2 linked regions of the Drosophila melanogaster genome follow. The protein of the gene in region 1 purifies or fractionates together with the protein of each later gene. This does not show direct contact. Each region holds a gene or a part of one and is shown in the gene's direction. Other genes may lie near its edges. The genes, in order: LS2 and U2af38.

What was found.
Region 2: the proteins of LS2 (region 1) and U2af38 purify together in Drosophila melanogaster (affinity purification with western blotting, with the first as the bait; one study listed by BioGRID). This does not show direct contact.

The regions. Positions count from the first base shown.
Region 1 is NT_033778.4:23,209,456-23,213,282, reverse strand, and holds LS2 (large subunit 2), read left to right. Parts: upstream 1-1,743; 5' UTR 1,744-1,784; coding exon 1,785-3,134; 3' UTR 3,135-3,153; downstream 3,154-3,827.
Region 2 is NT_033779.5:292,155-296,514, reverse strand, and holds U2af38 (U2 small nuclear riboprotein auxiliary factor 38), read left to right. Parts: upstream 1-1,833; 5' UTR 1,834-2,030; coding exon 2,031-2,074; intron 2,075-2,142; coding exon 2,143-2,893; 3' UTR 2,894-3,512; downstream 3,513-4,360. Other genes in the region: Stip1 (stress induced phosphoprotein 1), read right to left, coding at 1-811, 887-1,169, 1,235-1,243; CG11562 (uncharacterized protein), read right to left, coding at 3,513-3,798, 3,855-3,946. UniProt on the Drosophila melanogaster protein: Necessary for the splicing of pre-mRNA. Binds to the polypyrimidine tract of introns early during spliceosome assembly.

The DNA.
Region 1 (3,827 bases):
ATTAAATTTAAGTAGCGGCTGTTATTATTATTAGTTATAAATAATGATATACACATATAATAGTAACACTTTTATTGAACTGATATTCCCACGCAACGCAACCAAAAATTCTCTTTTGCCCAGAACGACTTTAAAATTGGTGTGGGTTTGGTTTTGGCCTCTTGACTGATTTCCATTTGGCCAAAACTCAGACGTGGCACAATATGTTATGAATTTTTATTCAGTTGTTTGTGTGCCAAGGAAAAAATTAATTTATGGCCTTCGTCGTTATTGTTCAAATAAAAGGCCCAAATCTAAATGGGTGATCGAAAAAACGGAGAGAGAGAGGGAATGTGAAGTCGGGGCGTTCGTCATCCTCATCCGGGCTCCATGTCGCCATATCATCGATGGACATCAATGTGGGGATATGTCAGAAAATCGGCGGGCGGGGAGACGTTGCCTGAATTTAAATGGACAAATTAATTGCGTTTGTCAGGCTTGTGGACAGGTTCTGGTTCCATTGGAACCTCGGCAGCAGCAACAAACCCAAGCGGCTGGACAAAGAATTAATTGGTTTTTGGACACTGGATGAAATATATTTAATTTAGGCTTAATGCCGGACAGAGATTGCATTTTAGTATGCACCCGCGCCGCCATCTCAAATTCCTCACAAGTGTCAAATTGGCCTTGAATCATGACTGGGATTGTATCTGTATCTCTATCTCTGTATCTTTATCTGTGCGCGATCGCCGGGCCATCAAATAGCCATTAAACAGTAGACCATTATCCTAGCTGATGGGGAATGATACCTGAGAGCCTCCACAAAGGAGGTGCGGTGTAGTCGATGATCGAGGATCGGGACATAAATTATCACTTGGTTTCTGGGTTCGATAAAGTTCTTTATAGGGGGTTATGTGTGGAATGGTGACGTGTAGAAGGGAATGCACTGAGGGAAAAGTCAAGCATTTTATTCAAATTGATTTCTTACCTTGTTCAAACACTCCGTTCTGTGCATCGTTATGCAAGCAGGATATTTACGGTGAATAGAATAGTATTCCCCTAAAGTTTGAAATCCCTCTTTTGTCCGATTTGAGTTGACAGTTTTATTGTGTCGCCTTTCTGAATTAATTGAGCCGCCCCTCAGTTCCAAATGAAGTCGTTGTCGCGTTTCCGAGGAATGTGGCGAGGATGGTATCCCCGACTCATCCCCTGCGGGAAGCTGGGCTCGGAGGACCACACATCGCGATGGAGACACACGCAGCTCCGAAAACGAACCCAAAAAGCATGGCCTGAACAAATTGCTTCTTCTCTATTTATACGGCCTGCGGGCGAGCCGTTGCCAATTAATTATAATTGATTGGCGATATTAACGAAAATTATGATGATTATGATTATTCGCTGGAAATGCACCCGCAGATACGTATGTAGATACGTTTTTCTGTCGAAAGATATAACGAGGCACAATGAAAGCTGAAAACTATCCGGATGATGTATGATAAACGACTTAATTGTTTTTTTTTTTTTTTTTGATTCAAGCTCCCCGCCATTGGCATCGAATACATTAAATGATAGATGTGAATGCTGAATGAACAAATTTGCCGGATTGCAGAGAATTTTTTAATTTGCTAGACTTAGACAAGAAATTAAATTTACGTTACATTATGTCGATTAAGTGCGGTCACATTGCTCGTTATCGATGATTCCTTCAGTTGTCACACTGAACTTTTTAATCAGAGTAGCTTTTATTGTGATTTCATTTTAGTTCACCAACAAGGCCTGGTGTTCGGTGATTTTAGCTGAAAAGTATGAGACGTTTTCGGCCCATGAATCGTTCTTGGAATGCTCTGCGTTCGCGTTCACGTTCACGTTCACGTTCGCGTTCGCCTTTCCGTTCGCAATCCATTACTCGATCCCGGCCCACCCGTTCGGATACCATTTACACAGAGAGGACGCGATTGCAGCGACGTTTCAGTCGGCCTCCCTCCTCCTGGGACATTCCACCAGAGGGTTATAACCACCTGACTCCGCAACAGTACAAGGCCATGCTGGCCAGCGGCCAGATTGCCTCGAGGATTCTTTCCGATGGCGTACACGGGGGCGAGTCCGCCGCGATTTCGATGATCACTCGACAAGCTCGCCGCCTGTATGTGGGTAATATTCCATTCGGAGTTACGGATGAGGAGATGATGCAGTTCTTCAATCATCAGATCATGGCTCTGGGATTTGAAGCAAAAAGCTCGCACTACATGGATGGCAATGCTGTGCTGACCTGCCAAACGAATCTGGAGAAGAACTTTGCCTTTCTGGAATTCCGATCCATTGACGAGGCCAGCCAGGCCTTGAATTTCGATGGGATGGTCTTCCGTGGACAAACCTTGAAGATAAGACGGCCACACGACTATCAGCCAGTGCCCTCGATTTCAGTCTCTGCAATGGAGAGCTACAGGTCATTCAGGGTCCCTGCCATCAATGTAGCCCAACAACCGGCTGTTACCCTTCCTGTGACCACTATTGTCCCCGATTCCCCCAATAAGATCTACGTAGGTGGCTTGCCCACCTGCCTGAATCAGGATCAGGTCAAGGAACTGCTGCAGTCGTTTGGAGAACTGAAAGGACTGAATCTGGTGATGGATACCAACACGAACCTGAACAAGGGTTTCGCCTTCTTTGAGTACTGCGATCCCTCGGTTACCGATCACGCCATAGCTGGATTGCACGGCATGCTGCTGGGGGATCGCAGGCTGGTGGTCCAGAGATCTATTCCAGGCGGAAAGAACGCATTCCCCGGCCACTTACCAACCGTTCTTCAGGTACCGGGCATATCCACACTACAAGATCCTGGCTCACCTACCGAAACTCTCTGCCTGCTGAACATGGTGCGGCCGGAGGAGCTGCTGGACGACGAGGAGTTCGAGGACATTCGCACGGACATCAAGCAGGAGTGCGCCAAGTTCGGCGAGGTTCGCAGCATCAAGATTCCGCGTCCCATCGGTCAATTTCCGAAGCGGGGCTGTGGCAAGGTCTTCGTCCAGTTCGAATCCGTGGAGGATTCGCAGAAGGCCCTTAAGGCGTTGAGTGGTCGCAAGTTCAGCGGGCGCATAGTGATGACCTCGTATTACGATCCCGAAAAGTACCTGGCGGATGATCTACAATAAAGTCGAAATAATAAACCATATTAACTGAAATTTCAATATGCTCAACCATCTAGGAACATCTACACTTAATAGTCAGTCCATCATGACACCTGATGATGACTCGGTGAGCTGATGTGGCCAAGGCCACGAGCGATAAGGAAGTTAATATCCAGTTCTCCACTCTCGTTGTTGTGATATCAACTGCTTAACGCTTTAAGTTATCTGGGATCGAAATGTGAGGACACGCCTCCTCGCCCCCCAAATACGATGGCAGAAATTCAATTAGGCAGACCGACTTAAGCTGCAATCCTTAAAGCTGCTCGAAAGCCGACAGCTCCTGCAGCAGCTTCTCCGCTCACCTTTTATTTCCAGTTCCTCTGGAAGAGTCAGGCCAAAGCTCTTGCTTAATTAAAATTTTAAACTTTACGCTTTATCGTCGACATTTCTCGGCATATTCACACCTACCGACCGCTTATTACGAAGCCCAGGTAATGCCTTAATGCCTTTTCAATGGAGAAGCTTCTTCGGCGGCTTATCTCGCCGACGAACGGTTGCATTTTCTCAGGTATCACGTTTCGTGGGTCTTGGGGCATCATCCGTTCAGCCTGGGGTTGGGGTCTTTTCTTATCTCAAAGTTTGGTCATTTGGTCGACAGCCGATCATCAATACTCGTACGCGTAATGAAATGGTCAGCACACGGAAAGAAAGAAGTTT
Region 2 (4,360 bases), on another chromosome or scaffold:
TCGCAGTCCTTGAGGCCCAGATCAAAGGCGGCCAGCTTGGTGTAGCAGGCGGCGCGGTTACTATAGAGTTTGGGATCATCCGGATTGCGCTTGATGGCCTCGGTGTAGTGCTTTACAGCGGTGCTGTAGTCCCCCTTCTTAAAGAAAAGGTTGCCCTGCTCCTTCTCTTCCTCGGCCTTCTCCGGATTGATGTAGGCCATTCGCTCCTCCTCCTTGATTTTGGCTTCCACCTCGCTCAGCGAGGTCTTGATCTCAGGGGTGCGATGCTCGGACATGGCCTTCTCATAGTAAACCTTCGCCTGCTTGTAGTTCTCTAGCTTACGATAGGTGTTACCGATGCGAGCAAAGGACTTAGCTATCAGCTTAAAGTCGGCGCGGCTTTCGCGCCCCACCTCAATGCCCTTCTCGCACTGCTTGATGCACTCCTCGTACTCCTTGCGCTCAAAGTGAACAGCAGCTATGTTGTTATAGAACGTGATATCCGTGGGATCGTGTTCAATGGCAGCGTGGTAGTGTTTTAGGGCCGTTTCAAAGTCCTTTTTCTTGTAGGCGGCGTTGCCCAGTTCCTTCTCCTTCCTCGCGAAGTACTTATTCTTCTGCTCCTCAGTCATGTCCTCTACCCGAGGTTCAGCGGGCTTTGGGGGCTCAGCCGGTTTCGCCGGCGGTGGCGATGGAGCCCTGCGGCTGCGTGCCTGCTGGGGATCAACGTCCATGGGTATATCCCCCTGCGATTGCATAAAGCTCAGAGCCGAGGCAGTAGTTTCCATGCGGCCTTGCAGGAGTATAGCATTCGTGGGATCGTACTTGAGACCTGCGCCGGTAACCGAGGTTAGTGAGGTTAGGTCGGGTGATTCATGGCATATAACTGAGCTGTGTTTGAACTTACCCTCGTTGTACGCTTCGAAGGCCTTCATAAAGTCATTCAGACCCGCAGCGGCAGCTCCTTTGCGTGAGTAACCCTTAGGCCAGGTGGGATTAAGCTGAATGGTCTTCTCCGCATCTTCTAGCGCCTCCTGGAACTTTCCAGCCTTGGCGAATGCCGCCGAACGGTTGCTGTAGAGCACATGGTTCTGGTCGTCCAGAGCGATGGCCTCTGTGTACGCCGCCACCGCCTCGTCGAACTTCTCGGCACTGAGCGCCTGGTTACCCTTTTCCTTGAGTTCGTTCACCTGCGAAAACCGCAAGGGTTTTTGATTGGAAATGCCAACGCCTTTCCTTTGTCTCGGGCACTTACCTTGTCCATTTCTGATAAGGGAGAGGATAGCGCTGTCGAATTACAGTTTTTCCTGTATTTTTGTACGACTTTTTAATAAAACACGCTGCGAAATGTGCCGTGCCAGGTGAAAATGCGAAAAATGCCGACTTTTCTAGAAGCAATCGATAGGGTTGTCAATGCTTCTGCGACTGAATTTAATCTTTTTCCAGACTGCGGTTTAGAACTTAGCTCGTTCTCAAGCGGGGAACAAAACCAGCAAGCCTTCTTAAATAATTTTTTCCATTGCTTATATAAATTAAAAAAATTGTTGATCAAATATAAATAATACCTTGAGCTTTATAGAATTTAAATGTTATTTTATTGTATTGTTTATTTATGTTTATATTATATTATTATTTGCGTAAATAATTTTCTCAATTTCTTATTTTGAATTGTAAAATTTTTCTAGTCAAATGAAAAATAAGTCCTCAGGCTTTTAAGTGCATTAATATTTAAATATTTGAAATTAATATTTAAAATGTTAGCATATTTTAAAACATTTAAATTAAGAACAGAGGTATCGAAAAACGATGCTGCCAAAAACACTAAATATCGATAACTAATCATCGATTTTATTTGCAACTCTAGATTCGAGGCTGGCAACGCCGTGCAAAATACGACCAGACGCTGCTTTTTTCGGTTTCCGAAAATAATTGAAAATTATCACTAAATAAACAGGCGGCTAACATAATTGCAGTTTGACCGCGTTGCAGAGACAAGCGGGTAGATAAGTTACACATTTTGGCCACAGCAACACCACAGTAAAGCCGCCAGCATGGCCGAGTACTTGGCATCCATTTTTGGCACGGAAAAGGACAAGTAAGTCGCATGGCACATTTATTTTAACGTTGCCGGGATTAATAACTAAATGGCGTTGCATTTCCCAGGGTGAACTGTTCGTTCTACTTCAAGATCGGCGCCTGCCGCCACGGCGACCGGTGCTCTCGCATCCACAACAAACCCACTTTCTCGCAGACGGTGCTTCTCCAAAATCTATACGTGAACCCCCAAAACTCCGCCAAATCCGCGGATGGCTCCCATCTGGTGGCCAACGTCTCCGACGAGGAGATGCAAGAACACTACGACAATTTTTTCGAGGACGTGTTCGTAGAGTGCGAGGACAAGTACGGGGAAATCGAGGAGATGAACGTGTGCGACAACCTAGGCGACCATCTGGTCGGCAATGTGTACATCAAATTCCGTAACGAGGCTGATGCGGAAAAGGCGGCAAACGATTTGAACAACCGGTGGTTCGGTGGTCGACCGGTGTACTCGGAACTATCGCCGGTGACCGACTTCCGCGAGGCTTGCTGTCGGCAGTACGAGATGGGCGAATGTACCCGCTCCGGCTTCTGCAACTTCATGCACTTGAAGCCCATCTCGCGTGAGCTGCGAAGGTACCTCTACTCCCGCCGCCGTCGTGCCCGCTCCCGTTCCCGATCCCCTGGACGCCGTCGCGGCTCCCGCAGCAGGTCCCGATCCCCGGGTCGAAGAGGAGGCGGCAGAGGCGACGGTGTCGGCGGAGGAAACTACTTGAACAACGAGCGGGACAACATGCGTGGCAATGATCGCGGAAACGATCGCGATCGCCGCAAAGGTGGTGGCGGAGGAGGCGGTGGTGGTGGTGGACGGTATTAAATATTCTGGACATTTTTTCTGTACGGTGGCAATTGAGAGAGAAAGCAACGGACAAGCAGTAACGCAAAGCATCGTGTATTTTAGTCTCTGCGTTGGTTTTCCACGTTTTTATATCACTTTTGAGTAAACGAGATGGAAGGAGGAGGAGGAAAATGACGATGGGGAGTTCCACCACCTATGTACAAACCCCCCGCGAAATATTTTACCGAGCGCCCATTAGAATTGTAATTTACTATACATACATTCATAATAATAAAATTGAGTAATATTATACTGGAAGCCATAGTAAGAAATGGGTCTAATTGTCAAAAAGTCCAGGCACTCAAAATAAAAGACTCCTCACAGGTATGGATAACATCCAGAAGACACCACCCCTTGTTAGGCCTGCAGTCTTATTTCGCTTTGTAAGATTGAATCTTACCACGTTGTTTTAATTATATTTCCATGCGCAGATGGCTTCACCAACTGAAAACGATCAACAGCGTAAATGATGCTGTCAACTGTCTTAAGACGAAATCTTAAAATCTTCAAAAATGCGTACATTTGAACAACGAAATTCTTGTTTTCCCCGACTTAGTCTTAGATTTTAATAGGTGCATATTTAGGGGCATATTTGTGATCAAGCTATGTCAGTTGGCGGGCTTCCATCGTGATTAGTCGTTCCACCCTGAGGAACACCTCTGAAAGCCTCGCCTTCATTTTGCACTGCTGGCTTCTCCGCTTGAAGATTACTCTGTGCGCGATGCGTCGATGGAGGTACGGGCGTGTCAGAGGAGTTGCTAGACGCCTCCCTGGCTTTCAGTTGCTTGGTCATGTCTATTTGCTGCTGCAGCGTGTAGGTATTCTCGTGTTTGCGCCGTTGTTGCTGCTCAACGTCCCTCAGGACACCATCGTGCAGTCTCAGGCTGGAAGTTAGAGATCGGAGGCTATAACTTTATTCCGGAGTATTTGGCTTACTTACCGGTCTGCCGATTGTTTATAGTGCACATAACCTATGATCGCTGTGGAAATGGAGACCGCCAGTCCCAAAGTCACTCGCGAAGCGGTCGACATGACTGGGCACCGGTCTGCCGCTGGAGATTTCCGCCTAAAATGCCTGCACTAGGAATTTGGCTGTCGGGTTGTGTTGTTTTGAAGTCGGTTCGGGTTACGACATGACTTTAAATTTGAAAGAAAAACAACAGCACCACACAGCTGACAAGAGAGTGGCCAGTTTACGGAAGCAAAGTTTTCCCTATCCAGAGTTAGTGCGCGGGAAAATCAAATTAATTCCCTTCAAATCAGCGCAACACTTTTGGGGGTCCTAAAGCCAATTGCAGTTAGAAAATCTCAGACTATTGAAAACTTGAAGCTTTAGACGAAAATACAATTTCGAAGTGATGTATATAATAGCGATTTCCGTATCTAGTATCTACATACATATGTACTACAGAACTTCTAGCCTTTATCAATGACTTTTTATTTAGG